Lepisosteus oculatus: one gene and its partners. The protein of the gene in region 3 interacts with the protein of the main gene of each other region in a pairwise test. Links are inferred from orthologs where the notes say so. Each region holds a gene or a part of one and is shown on either strand. Other genes may lie near its edges. The genes, in order: zinc finger C2HC domain-containing protein 1C, aquaporin FA-CHIP, microtubule-associated tumor suppressor candidate 2-like and histone acetyltransferase KAT5.

Region 1 (7,382 bases), on a different chromosome or scaffold from region 3:
TCACCAGGAACTTTTTGACTCCTTCTTCCACGCAGAGCAACACACCATCCCAGTCCCGAAACTCAATGAGTGTTTTTGCAGGCTCCATGCACACATCGTACTCTGAATAATGGCACTTAATATTAATGACATAAACCCCATGGAGCTCTGAACCACCCCTCTGCTTTGGACTGTGCACAGCGATGGACACAACGGGGATGCTGTTCTGCCTGCTGGCAACTCTCACCTTCTTTAGTAAGAAATTTAGGAGTTTATGAATCCGCGTTCTCAAGACTAGTCTGCTGTTTACGTAGAGAAACTGCATGCTGTTGTTGTAGTGACCCTCACGCCCTATGTGGCCACTCATTTCAAACTGGTTGTGGCAATGACTGATCTCCCCAAGCTTCTGAGCTCTGCCCAGTCCGTGAATCTGGGTGAACCTATAGTACGTGGCCCGCGACTTGGAGAGCTGGAGCACCGTGCATCCGGTGGAGTCATTTCTCAGAGAGAAGGAGACGGAGGGGTGCATGAGGGAGACTGCTTCGATCCTCTGCCTGATCCGCTCGCATTCCAGAACCGGGTCGAGCCTTTTCCTCCTCACGGGCAGATTGTGGAAGACGTCGCAGGCCACCACCGTCGTGCCGGCTGCGGGCCGGGTGGTTGCTGCCTCGGACACATCTAAGCCCCTCCCGTTCTTGAACACTTTCACGAAGGTCTTCACGGACTCTGGGGTCCTTGACGAGACCTCCAGCAGGGTGGCTAAGCCGGCTATGCTTGCCAGTGCCTCCCCTCGGAATCCGTAAAACCGCAGGGCTTCCAGATCATCCAGAGAGCCGCACTTGCTGGTGAAGTACCTGTTGCCCACCTGCTCCAGGTCTTGCCTGTCCATCCCAGAGCCATTGTCCAGAACCTGCACTTTTCCCGCCTCAATGTCCACTCTCACAGCCACGCAGCTGGCCCCAGCGTCGATGCTGTTGAGCAGGAGCTCCTCCACACACTGCGTCAGTGAGAAAATGGCTATCCCAGAGCGAAGCTTCGCCTGCACGTCCTCGGACAAACGTCTAATCATAGTTCTGACGCTATCGGAAACCTAAACCGCCTCTTTGCTGTAAAAATTATCTCAGCAAGCGCTCCTAGGCCCGTCAGACATTTCTGCACATTTAAGAGGAATTCGGAGCTCCGTCCTAATGGGACTTTTCTGCAAATAAATACTTCCAACACATTTTACTTAACTCCCGGTCTAATAAATTTTACATTCTACATCAAGGGTGCCGTTTCATAACAGTTTCTACTGTCGCCATCTACTATAATTTGAGATTCCCGGCTGCCGCCGGGAACAATCGCAGACTGACAGCTTCAACCCTCTTATCATGTTGGGAACTATTCTTTTAACAATGACGGTTTAAAAAAAAAGTTAAAAAATAACATTCTGACGAGTTTGATAAACAAAACTACGCACTACGGTGCTGGACAAAACGCACGCTAAAACCTATTATCCAACCATTCAAAACTACTACTCTACTTTTGAAAGAGGGGGAAGAAAAACGGTGCTATAATTATCTTAGGGGAAACGACATTCAGCCGTGACATCGACAAGACCGTATTTCAACTTTGTTCTTCTTCATATTTAAAAAAATAATTTACACTGACTTTTTTCTAGCTGAATGTCCTTCCAAAGTGTCCGTTTCCATGGCTTCCGGTTACTATGGTGATGCGCGAATTAAAAGCAGCATTCGTGGACAGTGAAATGCAGGCCATCTCTAATTTCACTCTAATTTCTAACATTCACAGAGCAAGAGCAATCCTAATCCATCCTGCGTGGTATTGTTTGTATGTCTTCACATCCGCATCCGGGCCCGAGCGTTTGTGTTCAGCTCTTTGCTGCCCCTACCGCAAGAAATACAAATTTCGAGTCTCAGGGTTTTTTTTTAATTATCGGTATCCATTTCTTATGTACGGTTTACCTTACCAAAATAAAATTCATAATATAACATATTTGAACAGTTTTTGACGTTTCGGACATAAACGTATTGAGAAATATCTCGAAAGACTCAATTTTGTAATGATGCATATTTTATTGACCAATTGTTGAGTTGATGATTACATCTCAAAAATAAACATAGGGCTAGCGTATTTTTTACAAAGTACCGTCATTAAGCTGCCCTCTCAGTAACTATATTAACAAAATTAAACAGTACACAAATGGTTCTTCAAAATAAATAGGGATTTAATAAACACACAGAGGGAACGTAGAATGTTCAAAACATCCTCAAGCACTTATGTACAAGATTCAGATTTGGAGACGGTATGCGTATTTAGCAGTTTAAGCCTTCACTGATGTTATCTGCAGTACATTTACAAAAAAGCATTCCAACACAGTGACATCTTGAAACCAAATGACCAAACATCTTGATTCTAGGAAGATGTTTATGCCTTTTTTTTAAATAATAATAAAAAAGAAAACAGAAAAACACATCACATTTGGGAGGTTAGGGCCGGACGATCCTGAAATCCTTGTGATCCAGACTCTCCACTTTCTTCTCGTTGGAGAACTCCGCCTTGGCGATCTGGGACTTGGGGCTGCCTTTCTTCCTCAGCCACTCCTGCATCTCTCGCACCCTGCTGCCGGGTCCCTGGAGCTGGCCTCTCACTGTCCCTTCCCTGGTGTTCTGCACCCAGCCTGTCAAGCCCAGCCTCTTGCCCTCAGCCTGGGGGAAGGGCAGCCACACAGAAATACAGCACACTCCTGCTACCGGACCGGCTGATCTGAGATTGTGCGCGCACGGAGACCCAGGGCTGTCGAACCCAGCTCCAGGTTCCATACCTAATTCTCAGCGACTGATTACTTCATTAACTGGGAAAGAGAGTGGTTCTATCCTGTACACATTCTGTACTTTGACTTGGGTACTGTTAATTTCTCAGCTCGGCACAAACACTACACAATGCCCACATGTGCCACAAAATATTTAAATGATAGTCATCGAGAAGCAACAGCAAAACACAACATATATGTATAGCATGCATACAAAGAGATTGCAATCTCACATGCACATTTATAGCAGACGGCTGTTCTGTGGTTGCTATGGCAACTCACTAAGAGTGCCCAATAGGAAGTATATACTGTACTGCCACATAGGGAAGCACAACTGAATGATAGCTGTCCACGCATTTTCAATGTCTTCATCCAAGACAGGGCTGGAGAACAGCCAATGAGGTCAAGACCAGATACATCCTAGACAAGCTGCCAGTCCTGAGCAGGAGGTATGTGTATACACACAAACTCGGAGGATGATTTCCATACTCCAAAAAATCTGGACAGGATAGATAAATCTGTACTGTGGGGGGAAACAGGAGTCCCAGGGTGAAAACCCAGCAATGGGCAGAACATGCAAACCGGGCACAGGCATACTGGGCAGGAAGCAAGCCGAGGGCTCAGGAAGTGTGGGGCAGCACTGTTAACTGCATTGCCACCGTCACACCCATCCTTAAAGGGCTTTACATTCCCAGGACAATCATGCCTGTGCTGCCTCAAGCCTCATTTTCATTTTCCTGTGTTGGGTGGGCGAATGAAATCCGAGTTTCCGATCGCCGAATTTAACTAGATGTTCTATAATTGAGAAGCTGGTATTAGTCATAAATAAACACACACAAATAAAGGAAAGGGCTCTACCTGAGTGTACTTTCGGAAAAAAACACCCTGCACTCTGCCATAGATTTCATAATCCACTGAAATCAGATCTTCTTTACCGGACATGGCAGAGACCTAGACAAAATAATGTAAAAACACAGCGTCAGGAACAGTAGAAGTACATTTTAAATATTTCAGCGTGGACTGAAGTCTTTCCAGATCAACTTTTATTTTGCATTTTGCGTTCGAAATAAAAAAAAAACAAACTTGTTTTTTCAAAACTAAAAGGATGTTTGAATTCTATATCGCTCTTAAATATCAGGGGGCAGAGCTCATTAGGGGCATTATATCCGAAGCTTCGTCTTCATCCCAGATCAACTAAACGCTAGCATATTCATCATATGTCTCAATCTATTATCCAACATAATTAAACATTAGATATAGCCTCATGATTTGCCCGAGCTATCCCTGCACATTGGAGACGAAACATCATATACTCACATTACGATAAATAGCAACCACGAAAGACAAATCACGCACACACATTAAAATATCACTAACCAGTATTAAAAACACCCATACGACAAATGTGTGTATGTATAGCGCATCTCTTTCAAAACGAAGGGCTTAATCCAGACCGGTACATCCGGGGCATCTCACAACTTCCGGATGACTTTCCACGTGGTTTGTCTGCGCCCAATCACAAACAGAGCCCCTTGACAACTGAATGTTACGATGCCAAGGAACCCCGTGGCGTCTCCCGGTTTCCAGGCAACGCATGCCAACAAACCCTATTGTTAAACTCTTACCGGAGAATACCCTCTGATGACCGACCTGCGAGGACAAAGGGCTCGCCTACTGTGACGCTGGGGGTGATGTTGTGAAGGGCATCACTTTAGCTCGGGGAAAAACTCGTCACTCTCTGTGCCTTTGCAGGCTTGGTGACTGTATTTCAAGGGGAGACTGTAAAGTTTCATAAAACCATACGAGGGGGGATTTTCTCCTACTTTTTTTTTGTAAAAAGCGCTGTTTAAAGTCGGCTTTCTATAACAGTTTTAACTGCAGGTTTAAGATACCAGTGAACAAACCCAAAAAGTTAAGGAGAGAAAGAAAACCCTGCCACGCAAGTGTTTATTCATGCTTTTCAAAGGACGCCAGATCGTGACAAACTCCCCAGAGCTCTGACGAAGGATTAGAGCAGAAATCTGTCGACAAAACCAAAGAAAGTTTTTTGGTGAGTAAATTATGATGAACTAGCACGTTTTTTTGGACTGTCGTGTAAGTAAATATATAATGTGTCATATACAGTGACTTCTGAATTATTTATAAGGTTTTGCCCAGAAATATATGTTGTTTTTTCCTCTTCCACGTCTGCAGCCGAAGAAATGTTGAATGAACGACCAGTGTCACGTCTCACTCGGGGATGCTGGGAAATAAATACAAACGAATTTCATTGGCCACGGGGGTGATTTATGATCAAAACTGAATATAGATTTCCAGTTGAAAATAACGGGCATAATGCTTGCGTTGCATCCAGCCTGCGTTTTAAGCTTAAAACTCAGTGTGCAACATTTAGTCGTTTTATAGTCTTTAGGAGAATCTGCAAACAGGATAATTACATTGTAACACAAATGGTTCTTCTGCCAGAAGGACAGCTACCTCATTTTTATAGTTTCTTAAAAGTATGATGCATGTATTGTTGTTTGAGGTGAAGAAAATGTTTAATATGTAATATAATTTTTTTTTGTGTATGTGGTTTTTTCAAGAATAGGCCTTTTCCTGTATTCACTGTAGGTATACATTAATATCATTACATTTCACTCCCAATCAGACACTTGGAAGAAAATAACCTGCCTGTCTCCTCTGCAAATGGTACCACATCTTAGACCTCGAGCTCCCCCTTCCTCGGTAAAAAGATGCAAACCGATAAACTTCCACCCCTGAGGCCCGGTGGACGGAACCCAGCTCTGCACCCGTCCAAGTTACAGCTGCTGCAGAGCAACTTCCAGCAGAAACTTGGGGAGGAGAAGGAGAAGAAGCTGATCGCTCTGTACCGGCAGCAACAGCAGGCCGTGCTGCAGAAAGCCAGGATTGGTTCCCAGCACGACCAGCAGTCTGCATTGCAAACCATGGCGAACAACAGGGGTGGAACTGGCCTGCACAGGGAACATAGATCTGCTGGGAATCTGCCCAGAAATGGCCATCTCCATCACGTTGCCCCTGGAAAGAAGACAGCTGGGGTGGATAGGTCCTGCCCACTGAAGCCTGTGTACCACAGGAAAGCCTTCAGTCTCAATCACATCTTCAGTCCAGGTGATGTTGAGGCTGTGAAGCCTATAGGAGCACCGAGGAATATCCCAGTGGCTCCTTCTCTGCCTGCAGATCACCCAGAAGGGAGTCATTTGCAAGTGGACAGGAGACACCCTAGAGCACGAATCCCCAGGGATAAGACATCCCCTCTAGATGTGGCCCACTCCCCAGATGAAAACTCCTCCAGGGTGAATTTAAGTGGTCTCCACTGGCTGCAAGGGGAACAACGAAGACTAGCAGAGGTAGAGGCCAACCTGGCGGAAGAGATAAGGAGGAAGGAGCTCCTGCTCAGGGCAAAACTGAAAAGGACCGAGGAAGAGCTGAGGAGGATTCAGATAGAGATGGAAGATTCTGACGAAGAGGAGGAGTGGGAGGAGAGAGGAAAAATGGCCCAGCAAAGGAGAGCTCAGGAGAGACAGCACGATGGTGCTCCAAAAGGGCACCTGGGCAGTGCCAGTGGCAGGGGTGTGCCTGCAGAGCCCTATAGTTCCTCAAGACACTCAGTTCAGGACAAGCAACCGGTCGATGCAAGAAGAAAAACTCAAGTCCTGCCTCTTATTGAAAATAACACAGAGCTTCACACTCAATCTCTGCTCAATCACTCAAGTTCTGCTCCATCACACTTCAAGAAACATGAAAAGGCCTCTAACGCCGGCCAGTCACAGGATGTGCCCTACAGATATGAAACACACGTCAGGAATCGAGGGAAGCATGCCGAACCAATTCCTCTGGACAGCCGCATTCCACAAGCAAGCTATGAAATGAGCAATGGAAATTGTGCTGAAGAAAGGCTGCCTCAGGGGAGCGGAGACTTATCACCAAGACGTTTTCCACTCTCTGTCGAAGAAGCACCCCAGGCGGAGCAGAGACCGACGTACAATCAGGAAGGGAACTCGCAGCTGTTGCCCTGCACGCTCTGCAACAGGACATTTGCAGCAGAAAGATTGGAGAAACACCGTAGAGTCTGTGAGAAAATGCAGAATTCCCGCCGGAAGGTGTTTGACTCTTCCAAGCACAGAGCCAAGGGAACCGACCTGGAGCAATACATCAACTTAAAGAAGAAAAGTACAACGCCAGAGGTAGGAAGTGACTTTAGAATTCCTTCCCACAAATAAAACGAATGTGTGAATATGATTGTTACCCAATCCAGAACATAAAGCAGCCCTTAAAGATCCTCCGAGTGTGGCAAAGGGGTTCCAGGAATCAGAGGTTTTCCCCAGGCAGTCTAGTAGTGTGTAAAACCTTACACAGTGGGTCTGTTCACCAGCAGGTTTGGCTTTTAAATCATAGTAACAAATAGCACCATTTTGGCAAACAGTTGCTTATGCATAAATTTGGGTTCCTTACAAGAAGGGATTTATTGAAAAAGTGTCCCCCAACCAGAAAAGGCTGAAAACCCCTGACATAAGAACTCAAGGAAAACCTAGGAAATGAGAGGAGGCCATTGGGCCTCTCTAGCTCATAT
Region 2 (7,058 bases), on a different chromosome or scaffold from region 3:
AACCTTCCCAAATGAGGCCCCATTTCTCTGTTCATCTCTGTGGTGCAGCCACAGAGAAACTATTCATGCAAGCTGATTTAGGGTTCCTTTGATAAGGACAGCTCCCAAAGGGGGATGCACTTAGCTAAGCCTGGCTATCATGATCAATGGTCATCCATTGGCGCCTATCTGTCTAGGGAGTGCCAGTTGGACATCTGGACTGCATTACTAAGTGTCAGGAGTAAGTGACTCATATCTCACCTTGATCAACCAATCAGGGACTGGTAGGGCCGAGTAACCCACGTGGGACTCTGATGCCCATGGAACTTTTAGGCAATCAACGAGCTGAAGTTCCTCCAGGTAAAAACAGGCAACACAGAGAGCCTGTGAGATTCAGTGAGATTCAGTAAGATTCTGGAGAGGATTCTGTGGACTGTTCTAAAGGGAATTCAAAGGAGAATTCCAGGGCAGGACGGCCCAGGAGCAGAAGGCTCCCAAGGGCAGGACATTCTCGCAGCGCGCCTCCTGACCATCCTGAGACTCAGCCCGGACAACCACGGAACGGCCAGTGTGTCCGAGTGCCAGAACTTTCCTTTGTTATAAGAGTCTCGAGTGGAGGTTGCCAGAGAGTAACCAGCATCAGGCCTCGTGAACAGGTCGGAACTGTGGACAGCTGAATCACTATTCAGAACTAGCTCTTCATCAGGAACGAACTGGTCCTCTTCCTGACTTGCTGGGACCCACAGTCATCTTTTCTCCTGTGCACAAACTTTGCTAACTAGCCGGTCAGTGAGCATCTGCAGCACACCGTCGCAAGCCGCACAGCACAGCCTGGCACGGAGCCAGAAAGCCTGGATTGGACAAGCAACAGCCTGCAACTGTTTCTTTGTGCCCGCAGGAGATCTGAATCCCCAGAAATTGGATGAGTATTCAACTTCAATGCATTACAGCTCGAGAATTCAATTGTTATCCCAACCAGTTGATATCAATTTAATTCCTAAGAGTTATGTACTTGTTTTGAGTATCTAATGTAGAAGTTATAACCAAGTTCATTTATGAAACGATCTTAATGAATGATATACTGACCGTATGTCCTCTTGATATGTGTAACTCTTTGTAACTGACTGAATATATACCTTTTGTATTCTGATAACCCTCTCGATAAGATATGTTAGGTTTATATGCATATTCTATGTATTAATAAATGTATCCTCGTGTACTAGTACCTGTGTGTGTGCATTGTTTGAGTTATGTCGCATGGTTGGATTCTAAAGCCATCAAAAGAATCAAGTTTGTGATTTACTGCTACAATTAATAATTGTCTCAGTAAATGCCCAAACCCTACAGAACTGGTGTCTTCAGAAAGCCACTGTGATTACATATTTAAGTCCCTGAGCCGGTTTTCTTACAGCATGAATGAATATAAATAGCTGCACATTTTGAGGCAGGAGACAAAGACTCCTAAAAAACTTCAAGCAAGAAAGCTGAAGAAAGAAAATACATGTGTATATAACATATTTGGGTTAAACTGCAGAAAAGAAATTCTAAGAACAAAACAACTGTTATATGCCAAAGACAAGCTAATACAGACATGGATGCAAGCAGTTTACTGTATAATATACTGTATTAGTTAGGAATGTACAGTATGTAGCAAAGATGGAATCATATTACTGAGTGATTTCAGTTTTCTTCATATGCATTTAATATTGTTATGGAAATACAGCAGCTCAAACTAATATGGTTAAAATGTCAATGAATACTTTGTAAAAGCACCAACCAGGGAAGATACTCTTATCAACCTAATCACTTAAAACAATCATAGTATGCTAAAATGTCTACAGTTTGATATTATAGTTAGTTGCTACTAACTAGTTGCTATAGCTAGTTGCTAGAAAAAATACAAAAGAATTACCATGAGAGAGAACAGAATATTGTAGCACAATTAAAAACAATACAAAGCATTTCACTCAGTACTATAACATTAAAACAATGATGATTGAGTAGTGTTTTAGATAGATAATATTTTATTAATCCCGTAGGGAAATATAGTAGTAAGTAAAGTTAATAATTGTATATGTAATATGTTACATTTAAATTCACAGAGATATCCAATGTTATATAACAAGCTCCAGCAATATTGTGTAAATTAAGCACAACTGATCTTGACCCTACAGTAAATCACTAGAATTTTCCCAGTCATTTAAAAGAATTGAAGTCTGTTTTCATAGACTCCAAAATGTGATATTTTAACTCTCACTTGAATGGGAGCAGTGTCCACAGATTGGAGAACTATAAATGTCTTCAGTTCATAATGAGTAGGGTAAATGATCCAGGAAACAATAGAGCAATAAGACTAATGTTAATGCTAAAGTGAAATGCAAATGATAGAGTTGCAGTACATAACAATACTAGATAGGACTATTGCCATAATCTAGTAGTCAATAGAATGGGCTTATAAATGGAATGTCTTATTTAACTATCTTGCTAAAATGCTCAAACAAACGACATCAGAGAATATTGGTTTTCAAATTTAAAACCACACAAATCCAAACTTGTTAATGCACACAATCAAAAACAGGTTAGAAAACAGGAAATAGTACATCATTTTTATAGAGCACAAACAGTAATTGGTCTGAAATAAGCAGTGGTGTGCTGGGACCCATTTTAGGCCCACTGCTCTATGTGATCTATAACAACTACTTTGTATTACAGTTAACAAGTACATTTTGTAGTGTACATGATAGAAAAATAATTGGGGAGTGGCAAACAAAATCAAATCAGCAAGGGAGTTACAAAGAGAGTTTTGTCTTGAGACTTCTGGCAAATAATTAATATGCATCTTTGCATTAAAAAGCAAAGTGATCCATATTGAAAGTAGGAACATACACGATACATGTACTGTAGCATGGTTGATTCTGAGTAGCAGTAATCTTTGCAGAAGATGTGTACAGTACATGTAAATTCCCATATGTCCACATCAAGACAATATGGAGACTCGATAAAAAAGCAAACAGGGAGGTCTGGTGCATAGAAAAAAGACTGAATTTTAAAGTCACAAATAATATAATTATGATTATTTGGTAGTAAGGATTCATTTGAATGAAAATAGTAAAAATGTATAAAGTCTTTTACAGTCATTGGACTGCGTACTACCTTTGCCATGTTTGTGGACTATGTATAAAAACGTATTGTTATAAGGATTCTAAAACTATGCATTTTACAATTGAATAATTTGAGTTTTCTACTAGGAAAGACGTATTTTAGTAAAATTTCTATGAATATAGTCAAATGTATGATAAAAGCTTCACATCAAATATATATGTACTGTACTATAATTTCAGGATTTTTAAATTCATGTAAGTGTATTTATCCTGAATGAAAATGTGTGAACATATGGGATTAAGTGAATTAATCAACATGCCTTGTTTTTGTACACTTGTTTATAATACTGTATATTGCTTATGTGATACTTTTAAAACCCCATTTGTTTGACCATTATTAGTACATAAGAACAAGAAAACTCTGATCAGATGCAGTCTCATTAAATAACTCCTTAAGTTGTTTGTTTTGTATTTAGATTTCACTTTTCTCTTCTGAGCAGAATTTTTCTCCATAGAAAAAAGGTTCACTTTGTGATGCAAATGATTAGACAAAATAACAACTGCAGTTCTTTTGCTTCCCCAATTGTTCAGGAGTTGCCACGACAATCAAAGAGAATGAAGGAGAAACTTTCTTACAACATATCAAAACCTTATGCTGTATTTTCCCTTTTTACCAATTTACTCCTTTAACTGCAATAAAATTGAAACAATATTAAATATTTAATGTTCTGTGATATTCAACACACAATTTTAAGGAATTTACCACCAATGATATGTCTTAGCAACAACTTGTATAAAACATTTTCTAGAAAAAGCTATTTCGATGAATAAAGACTTCCTATGAAAAAGAGGTGGAACAACTGTGAAAGCTCTTGAGGTCTCACTAATTCTGCATGCTTTTGATTTTCTTTGCAACACCCCCTCCTCCCACTATGAACTGAACTCTATAAATTCTCCAGAACGTCTCTGTGTCTGTAGATACCACATCAGACCAGCAAAGCCTCAGTCAAGATGAGAGAATTCAAGAGCAAGGCATTTTGGAAGGGAGTGCTGGCTGAACTAATAGGCATTACTCTCTTTATTTCTCTTAGTATATCAGCTGCTGTAGGGCAACCTAAAGCTTCCAGTCCTGACCAAGAGGTAAAAGTGTCACTAGCCTTTGGGTTAGCTATAGCCACTTTAGCTCAAAGTTTGGGCCACATAAGTGGAGCCCACTTGAATCCTGCAGTGACTTTTGGCATGCTGGCAAGTTGCCAGATCAGTGTCTTCAAGGCTGTTATGTACATCATTGCACAACTACTGGGGGCATCGATGGCAAGTGGAATTGTGTACGGAGTCAGGCCGAATGGAACTGATGTACTGGGAGTGAATTCAGTGAGTGTTTTTTCTTGCTTCTAGAAAAAAGTTTAAAAACTTTCTTTAAAGAGTGTATGCAACTGTTGCTAATTCACTATAATTTAATTAGACAAAGTAGGTAAATATTCATATTTTATTCTCTTTTACCTATTTTGTGCACAGATGTTTGAGTGTGTGTTTTATGCAAATGCATTGGATAATCATAACACCACCTGATTTCATCCATGTGTTTTATGCACAGAGAAATAGAACCTGAATGTGAATTAAGGTAATGAGAAGGACAGCACAAGTAAAACCACACAGTGACATAATTTATGTTCAGAATACTATTTTTTTTTTCTGGAAACATGTGGCATGTGCCTCATGGTCTTCTTTACAAATTATTTTATAATTTAAATTAGATACTAAACATGTGCTAAATGTATTGTTTATAGTTCATTGCTATGACACAGAATAACTGATTTAATAATACATACAAATAATATTACATGTATAATATAAAAGAACAAGGAGACAGATTACATATTTTACCTGGACGATTTGGTGACCTTAGTGTGATATAATAAAAAAGTTGAGAAGCTCTTAGCTAAAGAATAAAAAATGTAACACCGTATAGTACATATTCCAACAAAAACAATCAGGATAATGAGCAGTGGTTTAGTAGTTTATGATGACCTCTAGTGGTCTGTTCACTAGTTTGTGTTTCTTAATTAAATTACATCACTCACTAAATTCATTTAAAACTGTAAGACACATCAGCATTTTCGGATAACATATCCCATATAGATTTGATATCCCAGATCTTTCTTGAGTTAATCTCTAATTGTAATTAATGGAAGGTAAATAATGGACGTTTTTGCATGACTTTTTTAAATTGTCTTGAGCTCAACTGTTGAAATAAAGTGGATATTGAAGTTTAACACATGGAAAAATATTAAAAGAAATTTTAGTAGTTCAACTGCTACTAACCAGAATACCATTGGATTCAAAGGTTCATCAAGGAAGTTACATATTTTACATCAGAGTTCTTTTTCAATGAAGCATTTATAACTGCTTTTACCAGTAAAATAAAATTTGGGAGGAGAATCAAGTTTAAAAAATGATGTACTGAGATAAATAAAAAAATGTATAGTTACATAAAGTCCCTAGTGAGAAACAGAAATATTCTGACTTAGATTTATTGTAAGTAGTGCACTTTCAGTCTCTTATTGTACTTATTGACCATTACTGTATCAGTTCTAAAATAAAACTGTCCAAAAGTGTCATTTAGTGGGGTATCAATACTTTGATTATTCCATCTTTAAAAAAATCCTGTAATCAGTGTATGATTAATATTCTTATTTAGACACTTCAAACAAATGCAGGAGTGTGGAGAAAGCAACTCAGCTATAGTATGTTGTTGAAACCACACATCTTAAAAAAAAACCTGCATAAGATACTCAGATCAATTAGTTATCAGCAACCAGATAGACTAGATGGCCTTCTCTTCCTTGTCACCTTTGTTACCTTCTTATGATACCTAATAATATGTGATTTGTTGATATAATGTTCACAGGTAGTTTAAAAGTAAACAATCTTTTATCCAGAGATGACAAGAATCATTATTTTTTTCTCAACCTTTAAAATGTGTATCTGTCTTTCTTTTACAGCTAAACAATGTAACCTCCAGTCAAGGTGTTGGAATAGAGCTTCTTGTCACCTTTCAACTGGTCCTGTGTGTTATAGCAACAACAGATAAGAGACGGCATGATGTCACTGGCTCAGCACCCCTTGCCATTGGTCTCTCTGTGGCCTTTGGGCACCTTGCTGCTGTACGTCATTAAAACATGAATTCTTAGTATTCACTTCTGTAAGTCACTTAGAAATTGACTGAAATATAATGTACACCATAGAGTGGAAAAAATCACTGGTGATGACTAGCCAGTTCCAATTTAATTTAACAGCTGACTTGATCTACAGTATGCAAATGTATGTAAGCAGTTGGTGCAAAATGGATTGAGTCAGAGGCAGAGATTGAAATTAAAAGCCCCGGTAGAGTTAGATACAATACCCTTTTAGTGTTGCAGTCTGAGCAATTGCAAACACTTTCTAAATTTGCTCTGCTGCCAGCAGTAATGTTTTTCAAATGATGAATTTACAGAATAAATTTAAACTTCACCCACTTTCCTCAGTAAATGCTTGCTATTTTAGATCTAGAATTCTGTGAAACACTTTTTCTTTTAGATTTTTTAAAAATAGTTTTGAAGCAAAAAAACAATTCTGAAAGTGACCTTTGGTACGTTTCTGCTAGTATTTGAACATTTCAGGAAAAAAAAAACATGGCTTAATTATAAAAAAATAGATCCTATAATAACCACTTTACTTTATTTTTGTGTCAGTGAGTGTTTTCTCCTGCACAGCTGGTAAGATATCACGTATTAATTTGTCATTTGGATAATTAGAAAATACCATTGCAATCCCATGCAAATCTGTGGTTTTCTCCCCAGATCAGTTATACTGGATGTGGAATGAACCCAGCTCGATCCTTTGGCCCTGCTCTGATTACGTCTAACTTCAAAGACCACTGGGTAGGTGGAATGTGAAATTTAAAAACAAATAATGGAACCTTAAATTAGCACTTAC
Region 3 (7,680 bases):
TGCAACCATTGGGAACTGTGATCATGTTCTGATTTCTAAAAAAAACAGAGCGGATACAAAAATAAAAAACAGTGAAGATCAGATGGGATGGGCATCACCACTATATAGCACTCTGGCCCATTTTACAGGTATTAGGTGGTGCAAGCGATTGTGCAAATGCAGCGCAGAGGGCAGAGTGGTGGCACTGTGGTTAAGGATCTGCACCTGAGGCTGGAAGATTGCTGGTTCAAATCCCGCAGCCGGCAGAGGAATCCTACTTTGTTGGGCCCCTGACCAAGGCCCTTGATCCCAACTACCCCAGGTGTCATGGCTGACCCTGCACTCTGACCCCAGGCTTCTCTCTCCCTCTCTGTAATCCTCATAGAGAGCAGGCTGGGGTATGCAAAAAGACAAATTCCTAATGCAAGAAATTGTATAGGGCTTAATAAAGTGATCTGGGTCAGATAAAACAATTATTTTTCACAGACCTGAAGAACAAAAATCAAACCCTCAACTCAATGAAAAAAAACAAACAAACAAACAAACAAATACATTGTGGTAATATAACCCTGTTTTTAATTTCACCAATGCTATATACTGCAAAAAGATACTTTTACATGTACTGAGTTGTCCTCAATTAACACTCTACACTTTGCCAAAGAATTAAAGTAATTATCTAAAAGATAGACCAATAAACAGTATTAAAAGCTCCTGTACTGCTCTGAAGACTGAAATTTACATTTAACACAAAAAATATTACTTTCAAGAAACACCTTAAAATTGTATAAATTATGTATTACAGCTAATATGAACATTTAATAATAATAATTTTTGCTTACACTTATATACTGTACCGCTTTTCTGGACACTCCACTCAAGGCGCTTTACAGGTAATGGGGACTCCCCTCCACCACCACCAATGTGCAGCACCCACCTGGATGATATTTAAACTAATGCCCTTGTTAAGAGAAAAGGTCTTGCACAAGCTGTATGAAACCTCCTCCTTGAGAAACATTTAAGGTGAAAACTAAAAGATAATGTGAGGTATTTTTGTCTTAACTGACTTTAGTCCGCATCAGCATAAAATAAGAAATGCATTCTCAGCTTAAATGGGAAATGAGACAATCCTGCTCAGATACAGGCTACAGTAAGTCCAAAATTACAGTAAACATACACAGACTACTTTAAGTCAAGACTTTGACCAACTTCAAATATTTTCAATGACAGTTTAAAATTGAATAAAAGCTTGTAGGTTTTGTTAACCAAAAAGTAACCATCAGGCACTCAACGTGATATTGCGGATGGAAGGTAAAAACAAAGCGGTTAATTTAAGATGCTGTTTTAAATACATTGATTATTCTAAACAATTTCAGTTTCACATAGGCACAATTGAAATGAACCGATTTCTCTGAAATAAGTATGAGACAGAAAAATACATAGGAACCAAAATAGAGGAAGTCTTTAAAATGGTGCCTGGTTGCTAAATCCGGTTTTCTTTTTTTAGGAAGAATCACAGCGGCCCAATGTGTATAGCCTTTGCGAAAAGAGTTTTTAAATTTTTCACTAATGAATTACATTCCACATTTATTGTCCAAAAGTCATCATTACCGTTGTATTATTTATGGAACTAATATTGAGTGACAGCTGTTTAACGCTACCTTCAAGATGTACTGAAGCTCCTGAGCCCCAATAATGAGCAAGGCTCGCTTAATTCCTCTACCTGAATGGAGTTTCAAGCTGTATCATTTCTTCTCTTCCCTGGCGCACTTAATGTCTAACCCACATTTTCAATTTAAACACCATCGCATTCAGGAAGCAATTTAAAGGTTTTTGTTTTGTTTAATACTGTTTGCCCTGGACAGTTTGTAAACTATTATAAAGACATTGTTATAAAACTGAAGAGTTTATAATACAAAGGAAACCACTGCAAAACAATCTACAACCCGTAGTTCCGACGACTGAGAGAACAAGCTTAAAATAGCTCTGCAGTTAATATAGTATTGCAGCAAATTCCTCCTTATGTTTACTGTTACACAACACTGTCACTGGCGCACCAAGAGCACATTTTCTGACCATATAGAGCACTGCGTTGAGAGGTGAAGAACAGCAGCACACTTAACGTCAGGCGCAAAATGTGTACAGCATGACTGCATAATTAAACTCTAACAACAAAAACAACATAGTACAGAGCACTGTATGTGTGTTTATGGAGAGGAAAACCAATGTAGCCCACAAATTACATGCAAATGTGTTATACGTTTATAATTGCACTCATTTCTGGACCTTTCACTTCGTCTCAAAGACCACGCTTGCAGATTCGCTCACACTCTCAGGTATCACTGCAAAGACGTAAATAGATCAAGCTTACGTGGTCAATACCAAAGGTGTCGCTTCCAGAGATCTTACAGTTAGCTCAGCAAAGGGCTTTTACTTGTGGCACCGACTACAGTCAGTGTGTTTTATTTAAAAACCACGTTTAATTTTTTTAACACTTTCCTCGACGTGAAGCCTTTTTGTCCTGTAAAAAAGCTCTAATTGTTGTGCGCCAGCGTCACAACTAGTTTTAATCTAATTGAACTGAAAATACGCCCACCAAATACAGCATACACAAAAACAGTATATAAGGAAGTTGCCATAAACACATTTGTTCCTTTGAATGTCAGCGAAGGCAATTTTGTCACCGGACAGCACAGCAGTTGCATTCTTCATCTAGGTGGGGTGCTATTTTTTTTTTTTGCAATGCAGGCAAAAATATAACGTAGCAAGTCGATGCTGAATATAATAACCTTTTCCATACACAGATGCACCGCCTGTACCTCTGCTTTGTGCATCTTCTCGCCCGGAAACTAACAGTGCATACCTGTTATTTTGATTCCGTTTTCCCGTGGAAATGCTGAGCATCCGCCTCCTCGTGCTTTACCAGGTACTAACCACCATCCTGAACGCAACGAAGAAAACGGTTGGGGGTGAGATAGACGGTGCAGAATGTTTCTCTCCTCTCCTCTCCTCCTGAAGCAATCTGGATCTTTTCCCCTGGAGAACCCATGCTTTTCAGAAAGCCGAAGGCTCCACCTGCTGGCAAAGAACAGGAAGGTGCAACATCCATAGGTGCACAACAGCGTCAGAGAGGTTGAGAAGAATTTTTTTATCGGCTAAAGTTAGAAAATATAAAAGACGTTTTTTTTTTCTTTTTTTAAGGGAGTTCTAACTACAGTTCAACAATCGTGATTTGTTCTTGGTCTTTGTACGAAGACGAAGGTTTCTTATATCCATTGGTTTTGTGTTTGATTAGTTTGGTTGTCTTGTGAGATGAAATTATCAACTATTTTAGTTCTTTTAGATTGGTTATTTGCGATTTAATTACTTGCGAGATGGCTTTAATCGTGAATGGTGCCTTTATACAATGAGAAAAAAAACTGACTGCAATACTAGTGCTTCGGCACAAATCTGAACAAGTAAAATACATACTCTATAATAGAGATTTCTAACATGGATCTTGGTCCCAATTCAGCACCTTTTGTAGGTCACCATTACTTTGTGTCTTAATATATGAAACGATTTCATTGTGATCAAACAGGTGACTTGTCAAAGTAAGTAATTTACAGATCATTTAAGACTAAAGTCTAAGTACTCTCTAGCCTTCAAGGACCTTAGATTGTATTAATTCAACAGATTACCTGCTTTCATTCATCAAATGTTTACAGGTGTTTTCAGCCTTTTCAACCAGGTGAAAGATAAGACTAGGTCACAGACCCCTGGTTTAACTGAATGTGTGGAGCTGTACAAAAATATAAATATAATGTCTCAGTATCTGGGGCACTTAGTACATCAGAGTTCTCAGTCCTGATTCTGGGGGAGTGCTGTCTTCTGTTTTTTTTTCTCCGTAATCTTAATGGTAAACTTATTTATTCCAAATGTAGGTGTTTTTATTTTATTGTACCTCATAAAGGCTTATGGTTCAGAATTGATATCAACCCTGTGCCAACCCCTAAGACTCAGAATTCCCCTCATTCTGGTGCATTAGCCAAAATGTAACCAATGGGATTTAAGCCAAAGGAAAATGAAATACTTGCTATGGGAATGTCTGATATATTACCATTCCCATCTGGCTGTTCATTATAACATGACTGTCAGTTAAGAGCTTTTTAACCTAAATAAGTGAACAAATTCATAATTAGCATGTTGAAGAGAGACTATATGAAATTCTGTATGCCAAAGTTGTTGAAAATAATACAGTACATTAACGGGATTTTTTTTAAACTGACGAGCGTGGAAAAGGCGTAAATAAGCAAGCAGATCAATTAGCACCAGTGAGTAAAGGCCTAGTTGGAGCAATAACCACCAGATGCTGTTGTCCCTTAGGATCAGCATGGGGAACCACTGCTCTAAAGTAACAATACAGACAAATTATCTTATTTGAAAGATGTACGTTCCTCAGTCTCTAAAATGACTCACACGAGTAATATAGCAGTATAAGTGGAGCGAGCTTTGCTGATAGGGAAAAAAAGACAACCAAGTGCTTTTGAAATTCTTGACACAAGGAATACAAGGCTGTGGACAACAAATTGGAGAATAACTGTACTATACAACTACTGCCCACCATACCATGACCAGTATGTTGTCACACACCCTAGGGATGTGTGCTTAGTCCATTGCTCTACTCCCTCTACACCCACGACTGTAAGGACAAACATAACACCAACTCTATCTCATCAAGTTTGCCGATGACATCACAGTTGTAGGTCTGATCACAGACAATGATGAGAGGGCCTACAGGGAGGAGGTCAATCTCCTTATAACGTGGTGTGAAGACAACAACCTCACCCTCAAGGTCAGCAAAACCAAGGAGTGGAAAGGGTCAATAACTTCAAATTCCTTGGCGTCCATATCACTGAGGACCTCACATGGTCTCTCAACGCCACTTGTCTGATCAAGAAAGCACAACAGCGCCTGTACTTCCTAAGATGGTTGAAGAAGCCCTAAGATATGTCCCCAGATCCTCACTAACTTTTACAGATGCACTACAGAAAGCACACTGACAGGTTGCATCACTGTGTGGTATGGCAACTGCAGTATTGCTGACCGCAAATCCCTACAGCAGGTGGTGAAAACTGCCCAATGCATCGCTGGGGTTGCCCTCCCATCCATCCAGGACATTTATGACAGATGGTGCTTGAGGAAAGCTCTAAGCATCATCAAAGACCCCACACACCCCAGCTACAGACTGTCTGACCCTCTAACATCTGGAAAACGGTACCGGAGCATTCAGGCCTGGATTACCAGACTCACAGTTTTTACCCCCGCACTATCAAACTATTAAACTCCCAGCCACCCTCACCTACGATCTGAACCCTCACAGTGCCTTCTCTCTTTGTCGGATCTCAAACACACATTGAAATCTACCTCTACCTCACATGTCAAGAAGTTCACTCCCCATAATTTTCTATCCTTTATTTTGTTCTGTTGATGTATGATTTTGCACAACTGATGTTGTTTTTCACATTACCTGTTTCCTGTTGTTGTGTTGCACATTGCCTTTTGTCTCTGTCTTTCTTTTCTTATTCAATTGTATTGTTGTTTTTTTGTGCTACTTACCGTCTGAGAGCTAGCTAATTAGCATTTCATTATACCATATACCTGTGTATCAGTATAATGACAACAATCTTGAACTTGAACTTGATTTTGGACCAGTTGTAGACAGCGAGAGGCAATGGACTGGACCTGAGGCCTTGGCAGTATGGTGTCCTTGCCACCTCTGCCAGATAAGCAGTGTATGCTGCTGAAAGTGCCTGAGTGTGGTTAAGATGCCCCATCGACAAGGACACACAAAACTCCTTGTGTAGCACGCTCTCCAGTCTCCACTGCTGGCTCAGACACACCGAGGGCTGAGATGGTAGGACATCCACTCGCTCCACCAACAGTTTCTTAACAGGGCCTTTGTTGTCCGCATTGGGACAGTGTAAAGATGTTCTACTACTTGACACAAGAAGGGCGTGCTTTGTCCTCTTCAAGGAGGTGCATACAGGATGTCATCCAAAACATCTGCATGAAAGGGCCAGGGTCAAGCATGGAGAATGTCCAGTTTGGCAAAGGTAAGTGGAAGTTTCTGCAGAGCCTCAAGCCAAGGCAAGTGAATAGTGGCAGCTTGGAAGCTTTCCTCCAAGGAGCATTGCCTGTGAGGTTTTTAAAGACAAGTGGATCAAAGGCAGGCAGGTGGGAGGAAACTGCTCACACTTTCTCATCCTCCCTTGTGTGAGGTTGCTGGGTTCATAGCTGTAGGCTGAGACATTAAAAAACAACAAATGACAATTCCAAAAAAATCACGTGCGTATAACAAAAAAAATTGGAAAGATTACAAAATCCCACTCCCACAAGACAGAGGTTTGAAATGTGAATACCAAACACTTTTCATTTCAAGGCTTATTGTATGTTTGACCAACTGGATGAAAAGCAAGTTCTCGCCTGTGTCTCTAGCACAGCAATAACACTGATATTTCCAGATGGCACTCTGAAGGGGTCTTGGGCCCCAGCTGTGTGGGGGGAAATTAGAAATGCGTCCGCAATTAGGACATCAATTTTTTTTAAAAAGCATACATTTTCATTGCAACTCACTGTTAATGTAGTACAGTTCATCCCTTACAAATCTCAAACAGTTTATGAGAACAGCGAACTTAAAATAGACTCCTTTGGATCTGTAGACGCTGAGATTTGTTCCAGGGTTAAAAGGTGAGACGTGACAGTGTAACCTTCTGCACCCATTAGTGTCAGTCGTACTAAGTCTTTTCTTTGTTGTAGCCATGCATCATGATTTATTATACACCTCCATATTTCAGAGTACTTTTTTATTACAGAATTATATTTAATTTACGTATCAAATCAGAGATTGTATGAATTACATACTAAAAGTAGAAATAAAACAAAACAAAAAAAACAAACTAATTAACATATGAAATTGAATAACATATGAATAGTTTTATATACTTAGCAGACTCCTACTAATATTGTCCTAGTCCAAAGTGTCAAACAAAGGAGGCTTTATATCTTAAATTGGTTTTAATTTAATAGCTCTCAACTTACCTGTACAACAGAAAAGTTGCTCATTAAAATAATTTGGGGGGATAAATTAAAGGAAAGGGTAAATTCATTCTAATATTTTAGTTATTTCCTTCCAAAATCTTTAAAACCTTAGGATATGTAAAAAACATGTGAGAAAAATTACGTTGTATTACCACATCTCCAGTAATTGTATTTTTGTAATTTCATCTGAAAAACTTTCTGGAAGTAAAATATATCCTATGCATTAATTTGAATTGAATAGATTTTTTTTTTATTTGGAGACCAAAACTTCACATTTCTACAAATGTGAATCCATGCTTTCCTGTCTCTTTTTTATTAAAGTTCTGAGCTGAAAAATATTTTCATTGAAAATCATTGTCTGATGTTTTTATGTAATACATACAGACTTCAATTTAGATATTTGAGATAGAAGGGGGTTTTCAAGAAGAGTGTAATTCATTTTTAAATACACTGTCTTGTTAGTTTCAGAACAGCATCTGTAAGTTTGAAGTACATTTTTGATTGATCATTTGGAAATGAGGAATGTTTCTTGAGATGTCTCCATGATATTACACCTTTATTCATTACTAGGTCACCAACTTGTAAAAACCCCACTCTGTAATGGTTTATTGTGATTTGCATAGG
Region 4 (7,286 bases), on a different chromosome or scaffold from region 3:
GGGGTCAGTGCTGGGGGTCAGACTGCACTGGGATGTCCAGTGGGGACAGTGCTGGGGGTCACAGTGCAATGGGGTGTCCAGTGGGGACAGTGCTGGGGGTCTCACTGCACTGGGGTGTCCAGTGGGGACAGTGCTGGGGGTCTCACTGCACTGGGGTGTCCAGTGGGGACAGTGCTGGGGGTCACAGTGCAATGGGGTGTCCAGTGGGGACAGTGCTGGGGGTAGAAGTACAGTGTGTATTTATGTGAATGTATTATAAGCAAAAGTACAGTTCAATCACATAACACACACCTGCAGGAAAAGCATTCTAGAGTATTTACACAAAGATTTACATTCAAGAACTGCGTCAGACTCGGACAGACCACAGCTTTCTGGCAGGTCATCTGTCACACAAGGGAGAGACTCGGGTCAGAGATGACAACTGCCAGAATGCAGTGGTCTAGTGTCCAGCAGGTCCAGAGCAGGAGATCGGATCGCATCCGCGTGCCAGAACCCAGCGCCCCTCCCTCCGATCAAACCGGTCCCAATATCCGCGCTGCTCCAAATCCAACTCAGGATTCCCGCGGTCCCAGAAGTTAGAAACCTTGGAGAAGGGTTTGACTGACGTAGCTCGGGCGCGACTGGACCGGTCTATCGGCTTGACCACGGGAAAACCGGATCAGGAAATCCGGACTCCGATTCCGTTCCCGGGTTCTGGCACGAGCGGATCGATTCCGTCTCACGTGGCCCCGCTACCGATCTCCGATCTCCCCTCGCCCCTCGCTCCTCCCTCCCGGTGCCTGCGGAAGACGGGTGAAGGTGTACCGGAATGGGGACAGTTTTGCCTCTGGATGGAGCTGTGACCGTTTGGAGGCTGTGATCTAGACTCTTCCTCTGAATTTGAATAGAAAAGGGTGTTATTGACAGCGAAAGACAGTTCAACCTCCTTCTCTGCGCGCCTGTGGTCCTTACTGCATTTCTGCGGCTGCACTGACCCAGGTGAGCTCAGCGGCGCCGGGTCCGCGGCCCGGAGGCCGGACCCAGGTGAGCTCAGCCACACCCCGGTGCACGGCTGGTTTTGTGCAGTCATAAAAATGCAGTAAAAAAAGAGGGTTCACAACGCTGTAATAATCAAGCAGAAGACCGACATGCACAACATCTAGAAGATCAGCACCAGCACAGGTCTGCAGGAACAGGAAAGAGCATGGGACAGCCCGGCGTCACTTCGGGAGCCATCCCGACAGAGTTCCTTCTTCCCGGGGAGGCTAGAGAAAAAGGCAGCATTGGAGACGATTTCCAGAGGCCGAGCCCAGCCTGGTCCTGGGAGCGAGAGGGAGCCGTGCTGAACCGGTGGTCCTCGGGGGCTGTCCGGTCTGAGGCTCACTGGGGCCGAGCTTCAGGCTCAGAAAGAACGGCGGCGTTGGGGGGGGGGGGTCAGTCGCTCTCCAGCAGCTCGGAGCCGTGAGCTCTTACCACGTCTCTCTCCGGGGAGCTGGGCCGCGAGCCCGGCAGGCCGTTCTTGGTGGGCGTCTTGGCCTCCTTTTTGGGGAACTGGAGCTTCTTCAGGTCCAGCCTGTCGGGCGTCACCCACTCGTCCAGGCGCTTGTTGACTGAGGGGAAAAAGAAAAAGCGATCAGTCCGGACCCAGGAACCAGACACCAGAGCTTTCCCGGTGAACAACGACATCACGTCCAGGGTGCACGGCGGGTTCCCTGACCCCAAAAAGGGATCTGTCTGACCCAGCGGGCTTTTTCAGAACCAACAGGGAAAACGCAAACCAGAAGAAGCTATAGGGAAGAGCATCTCAAACCGAGAACGGGAGGCACTCCTTTACACAAAGCCTGGTGGAGGAGTGGAACAAGCCTGTTGTTGAAACAGGTATTCTGGCTCCTACCAAGAAACAGCTGGATGAGATTCCGAGATCAATTAGTGACTAACTAGAGATTGGCTGATTGGCTCCTCTCGTCTGTGACCAGTCTTGTTATTTCTCAAGAACACAGGGCGTTAACAGTCTGTAGTACATCCAGCAGGCGACGGGCGAAACGGTACTCACAGTCGATGTAGTGAACATAGTAGAGCTTGCGGCTGTTGATCTCCTTCAGGCTCAGGATCTCGGCCAGGGCTGCCAGGAGGACAGAGGCAGAGGTGTCAGCACCCAGCAAGAGCTTCCGCCCACCGCGCCAGGGAGCTGCCCGATCCCAGGCAGGACCCCACGACCCCTCCCCGGACAGGACCCCAGCCCACTCGGGGCTCCAGGCAGGACCCCAACAGCCCACCCTGGACAGGAGCCCCTACAGGGGGACAATTACAGGCAGCAGTTTCCTCACCCAGCATGGCAGGAGTGAAGAGACTAGGACACCCAGAGAAAAGCCATAAGCACATGGGGGGGGGGGGGAGACCGTGCACACTCCACACAGAAGGTGCACCAGCCTGCAACTGAACCCAGGTCCACACAGCTGCGAGGTGGCTCTTCTTGCAACCCACGCCGGAATAAAAAGCATCCAACATAATCAGCCCGCCTCCAGCGGCGGGACAGCAGCGCCGTGCACCGCCCGCACCCGAGAGCGCAGAGGGCGCGTCTACTCCGGTGCACTCAGTGCGAGCTCCCGCAGCGCATTTCTCCAGAGTGCAACATCTACAGCATCGCGTTACAGAGGCAAGCGCGCAGGTTCAGGTTGCATTTCCCGCTGACAGTGTATTAAAATCAGATATAGGAGCGCAAACAATGCTCTAAATGTCAATATTGTATCCGCCATGACAGCTGCCCGTTACTCACGCCACTCGTCCTCGTTCTCCTGGTTTTTCCTCAAAACCGGCAGCCGACAGCCCTCCACGATCTCCATCTGTTAGGAGGAACGGGACAAAGAAGGGTTTACGTTTCTGGAAAGGTAGAAAGAAAAGTCCCGCACACAGTTTTTAATCATAAAAAAATAATCGAGGACCATCACGGTTATTTACTCACATTCGCTGAATCCGCCATCTTGCTCCGCTGAGCACAACAAGGCCCAGGGGCGACGGAAGTACGCAACCGACGTGTCCGCGGCTCAGGCTAATGACGCCATCGCCACTCCAGCCAATCAGCGTCCGAGGAATAGGTGAGGTTCCGGCCCAGAGGCTGGGGCTCGCATTGGACGCCTTGGAGGAAATTATGATATTTAAAAACATAATCAATGGCATCTGATTCCCAATCTTTGAAAATCTAGGTGATCTTGACTTTCTATTGAAGTGGAATTTAATATATGAACATAATTTCTCATCACATACGAACTATGTGTGGAATAACTCAGCAGGGTGAGCCTGGCCAGTACCTGGAGGGGGAGACTCCTGGGAGAGCTGAGGCTGCTGCTGGGAGAGGTGTGAGTGGGACCAGTAGGGGGTGCTCACCCTGCGGTCTGTGTGGGGCCCCAGTACAGGAACGGGGACACTATACTGTAAAAAAGGCACCATCCTTCAGCTGAGACATAAAACCGAGGTCCTGACTCTCTGGTCATTAACAATCCCAGGGTGTTTCTTGAGAACAGTAGGGGTGTTACCCCAGCGTCCTGGCCAGATTTCCCCCTGGTCTTTACCCATCCTAAGATGGAAATGCAACTCCAGTCATAATTTGAAAAATAACAAGGCAAAAACGTAAACTTGTGCTCTGATCTGCAATAACCTGATACAGCACCCTGCCAGAATAAAATGAGCAGCCACGTTATGCCCCTGCCCATGCACACGGAACCAGGGCCCTGCAGTCATTTGCAATTATTAGTTGCAACTCACACCTGACGGAGGCTCCCCGTCCGAAACGTTGCATTTTCTTTCTTCTCTCTTCAGCCTGGAATAAACCTATTATTGTTCCTAATTACTTACAGTAGATAAGTAAGTGACAGTGAAGTGCTTTGGTTTGTGTCCTCTTTGCGTACAATGAAGAGAACGGAGGACCCCCCTGCACACAACAACCCAGTCAGCGCCGCGGCCCCACGGCCCGAGGGTCCTGGGTTCGAGTCCACCTCGTGTACCTTCCCGGTGGAGTTTGCAGGTTCTCCCGCTTTCCCGAGGTGTGCTTCTGCTAGACTCCACCGCCGCCAGCGCCCTCCGGTGGGCAGACAGCTCACAGAAATAAAAGCACGGACACACAGAAGAGCCAGGACTCGGGCGTCGTTTTGGAAAAGTGGATTTTTAATGAATCTTTCATTCGAACGTACATTGTGGCTTGGATATTACAGGCCCTCCACTCACAGTACAATGTATCCCTACATTCCTACCAGTGTAACACAGAAATGATATTCCATTCTCTCGCAGGATCGTCTCTCCAGTCACAGCCTAGATACCCGTCCCCTATAGCACAGGCCACAGGCTCTAGTCCCGTCCAGTCCCCTATAGCACAGGCCACAGGCTCTAGCCCCGTCCAGTCCCCTATAGCACAGGCCACAGGCTCTAGTCCCGTCCCGTCCCCTATAGCACAGGCCACAGGCTCTAGTCCCGTCCCGTCCCCTATAGCACAGGCCACAGGCTCTAGTCCCGTCCCGTCCCCTATAGCACAGGCCACAGGGTCTAGTCCCGTCCCGTCCCCTATAGCCCAGGCCACAGGCTCTAGTCCCGTCCAGTCCCCTATAGCCCAGGCCACAGGCTCTAGTCCAGTCCCGTCCCCTATAGCCCAGGCCACATCATAACGACTCACAGGTCCTCACACACCCTATATCTCTGTCCCCTAAAACTACCTCCTCAAAGTATTCTATTGCCCTGCCCCCCTAAACCTACCCCCACACACACCCTATAGCCCTGCTCTCTAAAACTACTCCCACACCCCCCCGTCTTATGGTGTCCCCACTCCTCCAATCCACCAGTGGCAGCCCCCCAGTAACAGGTCTCCCCAACTTTCTATTCTACCCTGCTGCCAGAAACAGCTCCTTGTGAAACTGGTCATTTGTAGGGTCACATTGCTAATGTGGGGTTCAGACAGTGGGGCAGGAACCAAGTCACAGCAGACCATGCACGTGGAAAGGAAAGTGGGGGTACACAGCATCCCCTTCGTCAACAATGCAATGCGATTGTGCCACCTGAAGGGGTGCACTTCTGGGCCACCAGGGGGCAGCCCGAGTGTGCAGGGGTGCGCGTTGGTGCCAGAGCAGACGAGCCAACAAACAGCAGGATACAGGCGGCAGGCATGAGCCTTGTCCAGTGTCCATCACCGGTGAGTGTCAGCACATAGCACTGACCCCACTGGACACCTCAGGGCAGTGTGACCCCCAGCACTGACCCCACTGGACACCCCAGTGCAGTGTAATCCGCAGCCCTGACCCCACTATACACCTCAGTACAGAGTGTCCCCCAGCCCTGACCCCCCTGGACACCTCGGTACAGTGTGACCCCCAGCACAGTCCCCCCTGGACACCTTGGTCACCATGGTAACAGAGACACTCTCCCATCACCACCTCCCTGATGACAGGGATGCAAGGACACCATCCCTTGTTGCCACGGTGACTAGACATAGCCTCAAGGATAGAAGAATGCTGGTGGGGGGTGTAGGTGATGTAGAGATGATGGAGATACACTGCCCTGCCAGAATAAAATGAGCAGCCACGGCCATACACTGGCACCCTCACAGCAGGGCTCGACCATTAGTTACCATCAGTAAAGAAGTGTAGGGCACCTGGCACCCCCAGCCATCCACACACAGACAGAAGGAAGCAGGACCACCCCCCCTCCCCCCCACACACAAACACCATAGCCAGACCCCGCGCCAGTAGCCCCTAAACTTCACCTGTGCTCTGTGCGAGAGAAGCAGTCAGCCAGCTCTGTAAGCCAATAATTTAGACCCTTATATACAGACACAGAGCCAGAGCGGACAGAGGCCTCCCCACAGAACCCCCCCCCAGCGCTTCTGACCTGACCCCCCAGCGCTTCTGACCTGACCCCCCAGCGCTAACCCCCCCCAACACTTCTGACCTGACCCCCCAGCGCTAACCCCCCCCCCCAACACTTCTGACCTGACCCCCCGGCGCCCCACCCCTTCAGTAAAGATGAATATTCTACACCTAGACGTGCCCTGCGCTAACGTGGCGAGTTACAGAAACAGGCGCTGAGCATTCACGAGAGCTGCATGCCTCGGGCGAGCCGAGAGTCTTGAGAGGAGCGAGGCCGAGCGCGTCCGCCGGGGGGCCGGTCCGCCACACCACGGCAAAGAGGCGCCCCGGGCGTCCCGACTCCCCCCTTCCACCAGAGGGCTCCCGGCGAAGACGCTCGACCTCTCCCTTTGGAAAGCGGCATGCGGGATAATTTCTGTTAATTTAGAGAACAGTTCGTTTATTCACCCCCCCACCCCCCACCCCGATGGCCAGTTCAGCAAACATCTTGAACTGCTGGAGTACGCTACACCCTGTCCCGCCCCGCGATAAAGTAAAGGCTTCTTCGTGGCAAAGGCAAATTCTTATCTCCCCCCCAAAAAATTAAATGCGCTCAGAATTTTGGTTTGCATGTCTCAGGAATTTCCAATCAGGCAGGAAACAGGGCAGCCCCTCCTGGTGCTGAACGGGAGGAGGGGGGGGGTCCTTCCTTAACACCACCCCCCCCCCCCCACTTCGGGGCTCAACTTCATCCAATCAGAGAGCTGCGTCTTGAGAGGTCAACGTTGCTGGCGCTCAGTCCCCTGGATTCCGATAGGCCAGCGTTAGGCTGCTGCAAAATCAGACAATAGCCGTAAGATTATTCGATGGATACTGACAGAGACGGCAGCACAGACGCACTGAACCGAAGTGATACACTGGCACACACACACAGAGACACAGAGTGGCACCCAGCAAAATGCACTGACTCACGCATGGAATGCCACCCTGACGCGCACGCAGACGCGCACGCAGACACGTACACAGACGACAGGCGCACACAGACAACGACTGGCCCCCAAGCCAGCAGGGACACACTGAGTGGCACGCAGACACGCACACACACAGACGCACACAGATGACGACTGGGCCCCAAGCCAGCAGGGACACACTGAGAAGCACGCAGACGTGCCGACCGGCGGCTCCGAGCTCGAACCTGTGCAGGGTCTTCGGCGGTCTTGTTGAGGAAGTTGAGAGAGCTCGCCCGCTTCATCCTGCGGACGAACACAGGGGGGGGGGAGGGCACAGATCTCACAGACTGGCCAGCGGAGCAGAACAGGGCTCTGGAAAGCCACGCTACAGCCCGAGTCCGGTTCTGTAGAGCCCCACACTGTAACCCCAGCCTGAGCCCGGTACTGTAGAGCCCCAAGCTCTAACCCCAGCCCGAGCCCAGTACTGTAACCCCAGCCCGAGCCCGGTACTGTAGAACCCCAAACTCTA

The links.
Region 1: the proteins of microtubule-associated tumor suppressor candidate 2-like (region 3) and zinc finger C2HC domain-containing protein 1C interact in binary tests that used the Homo sapiens proteins (3 or more experiments, as listed by UniProt). The two-hybrid records come from large-scale screens. The link is inferred for Lepisosteus oculatus from reciprocal best matches to the Homo sapiens genes MTUS2 and ZC2HC1C.
Region 2: the proteins of microtubule-associated tumor suppressor candidate 2-like (region 3) and aquaporin FA-CHIP interact in binary tests that used the Homo sapiens proteins (3 or more experiments, as listed by UniProt). The two-hybrid records come from large-scale screens. The link is inferred for Lepisosteus oculatus from reciprocal best matches to the Homo sapiens genes MTUS2 and AQP1.
Region 4: the proteins of microtubule-associated tumor suppressor candidate 2-like (region 3) and histone acetyltransferase KAT5 interact in binary tests that used the Homo sapiens proteins (3 or more experiments, as listed by UniProt). The two-hybrid records come from large-scale screens. The link is inferred for Lepisosteus oculatus from reciprocal best matches to the Homo sapiens genes MTUS2 and KAT5.

Annotation. Positions count from the first base shown.
Region 1 is NC_090703.1:8,490,383-8,497,764, reverse strand, and holds the start of zinc finger C2HC domain-containing protein 1C, read left to right. Parts: upstream 1-4,364; 5' UTR 4,365-4,841; intron 4,842-5,438; 5' UTR 5,439-5,523; coding exon 5,524-6,996; intron 6,997-7,382. Other genes in the region: DNA mismatch repair protein Mlh3, read right to left, coding at 1-1,048; acyp1 (acylphosphatase-1), read right to left, coding at 2,469-2,687, 3,650-3,742, 4,109-4,153.
Region 2 is NC_090701.1:33,148,907-33,155,964, forward strand, and holds the start of aquaporin FA-CHIP, read left to right. Parts: upstream 1-4,044; 5' UTR 4,045-4,091; coding exon 4,092-4,454; intron 4,455-6,085; coding exon 6,086-6,247; intron 6,248-6,922; coding exon 6,923-7,003; intron 7,004-7,058. UniProt on the Homo sapiens protein: Forms a water channel that facilitates the transport of water across cell membranes, playing a crucial role in water homeostasis in various tissues.
Region 3 is NC_090700.1:17,556,041-17,563,720, forward strand, and holds the start of microtubule-associated tumor suppressor candidate 2-like, read right to left. Parts: upstream 3,022-7,680; 5' UTR 2,840-3,021; intron 1,876-2,839; exon of another isoform or gene 1,700-1,875; intron 1-1,699. UniProt on the Homo sapiens protein: Binds microtubules. Together with MAPRE1 may target the microtubule depolymerase KIF2C to the plus-end of microtubules. May regulate the dynamics of microtubules at their growing distal tip.
Region 4 is NC_090713.1:22,611,404-22,618,689, reverse strand, and holds the start of histone acetyltransferase KAT5, read right to left. Parts: upstream 3,015-7,286; 5' UTR 2,960-3,014; coding exon 2,942-2,959; intron 2,823-2,941; coding exon 2,756-2,822; intron 2,102-2,755; coding exon 2,033-2,101; intron 1,590-2,032; coding exon 1,453-1,589; intron 874-1,452; coding exon 805-873; intron 1-804. Other genes in the region: kinesin light chain 2, read right to left, coding at 6,556-6,639, 7,003-7,060. UniProt on the Homo sapiens protein: Catalytic subunit of the NuA4 histone acetyltransferase complex, a multiprotein complex involved in transcriptional activation of select genes principally by acetylation of nucleosomal histones H2A and H4.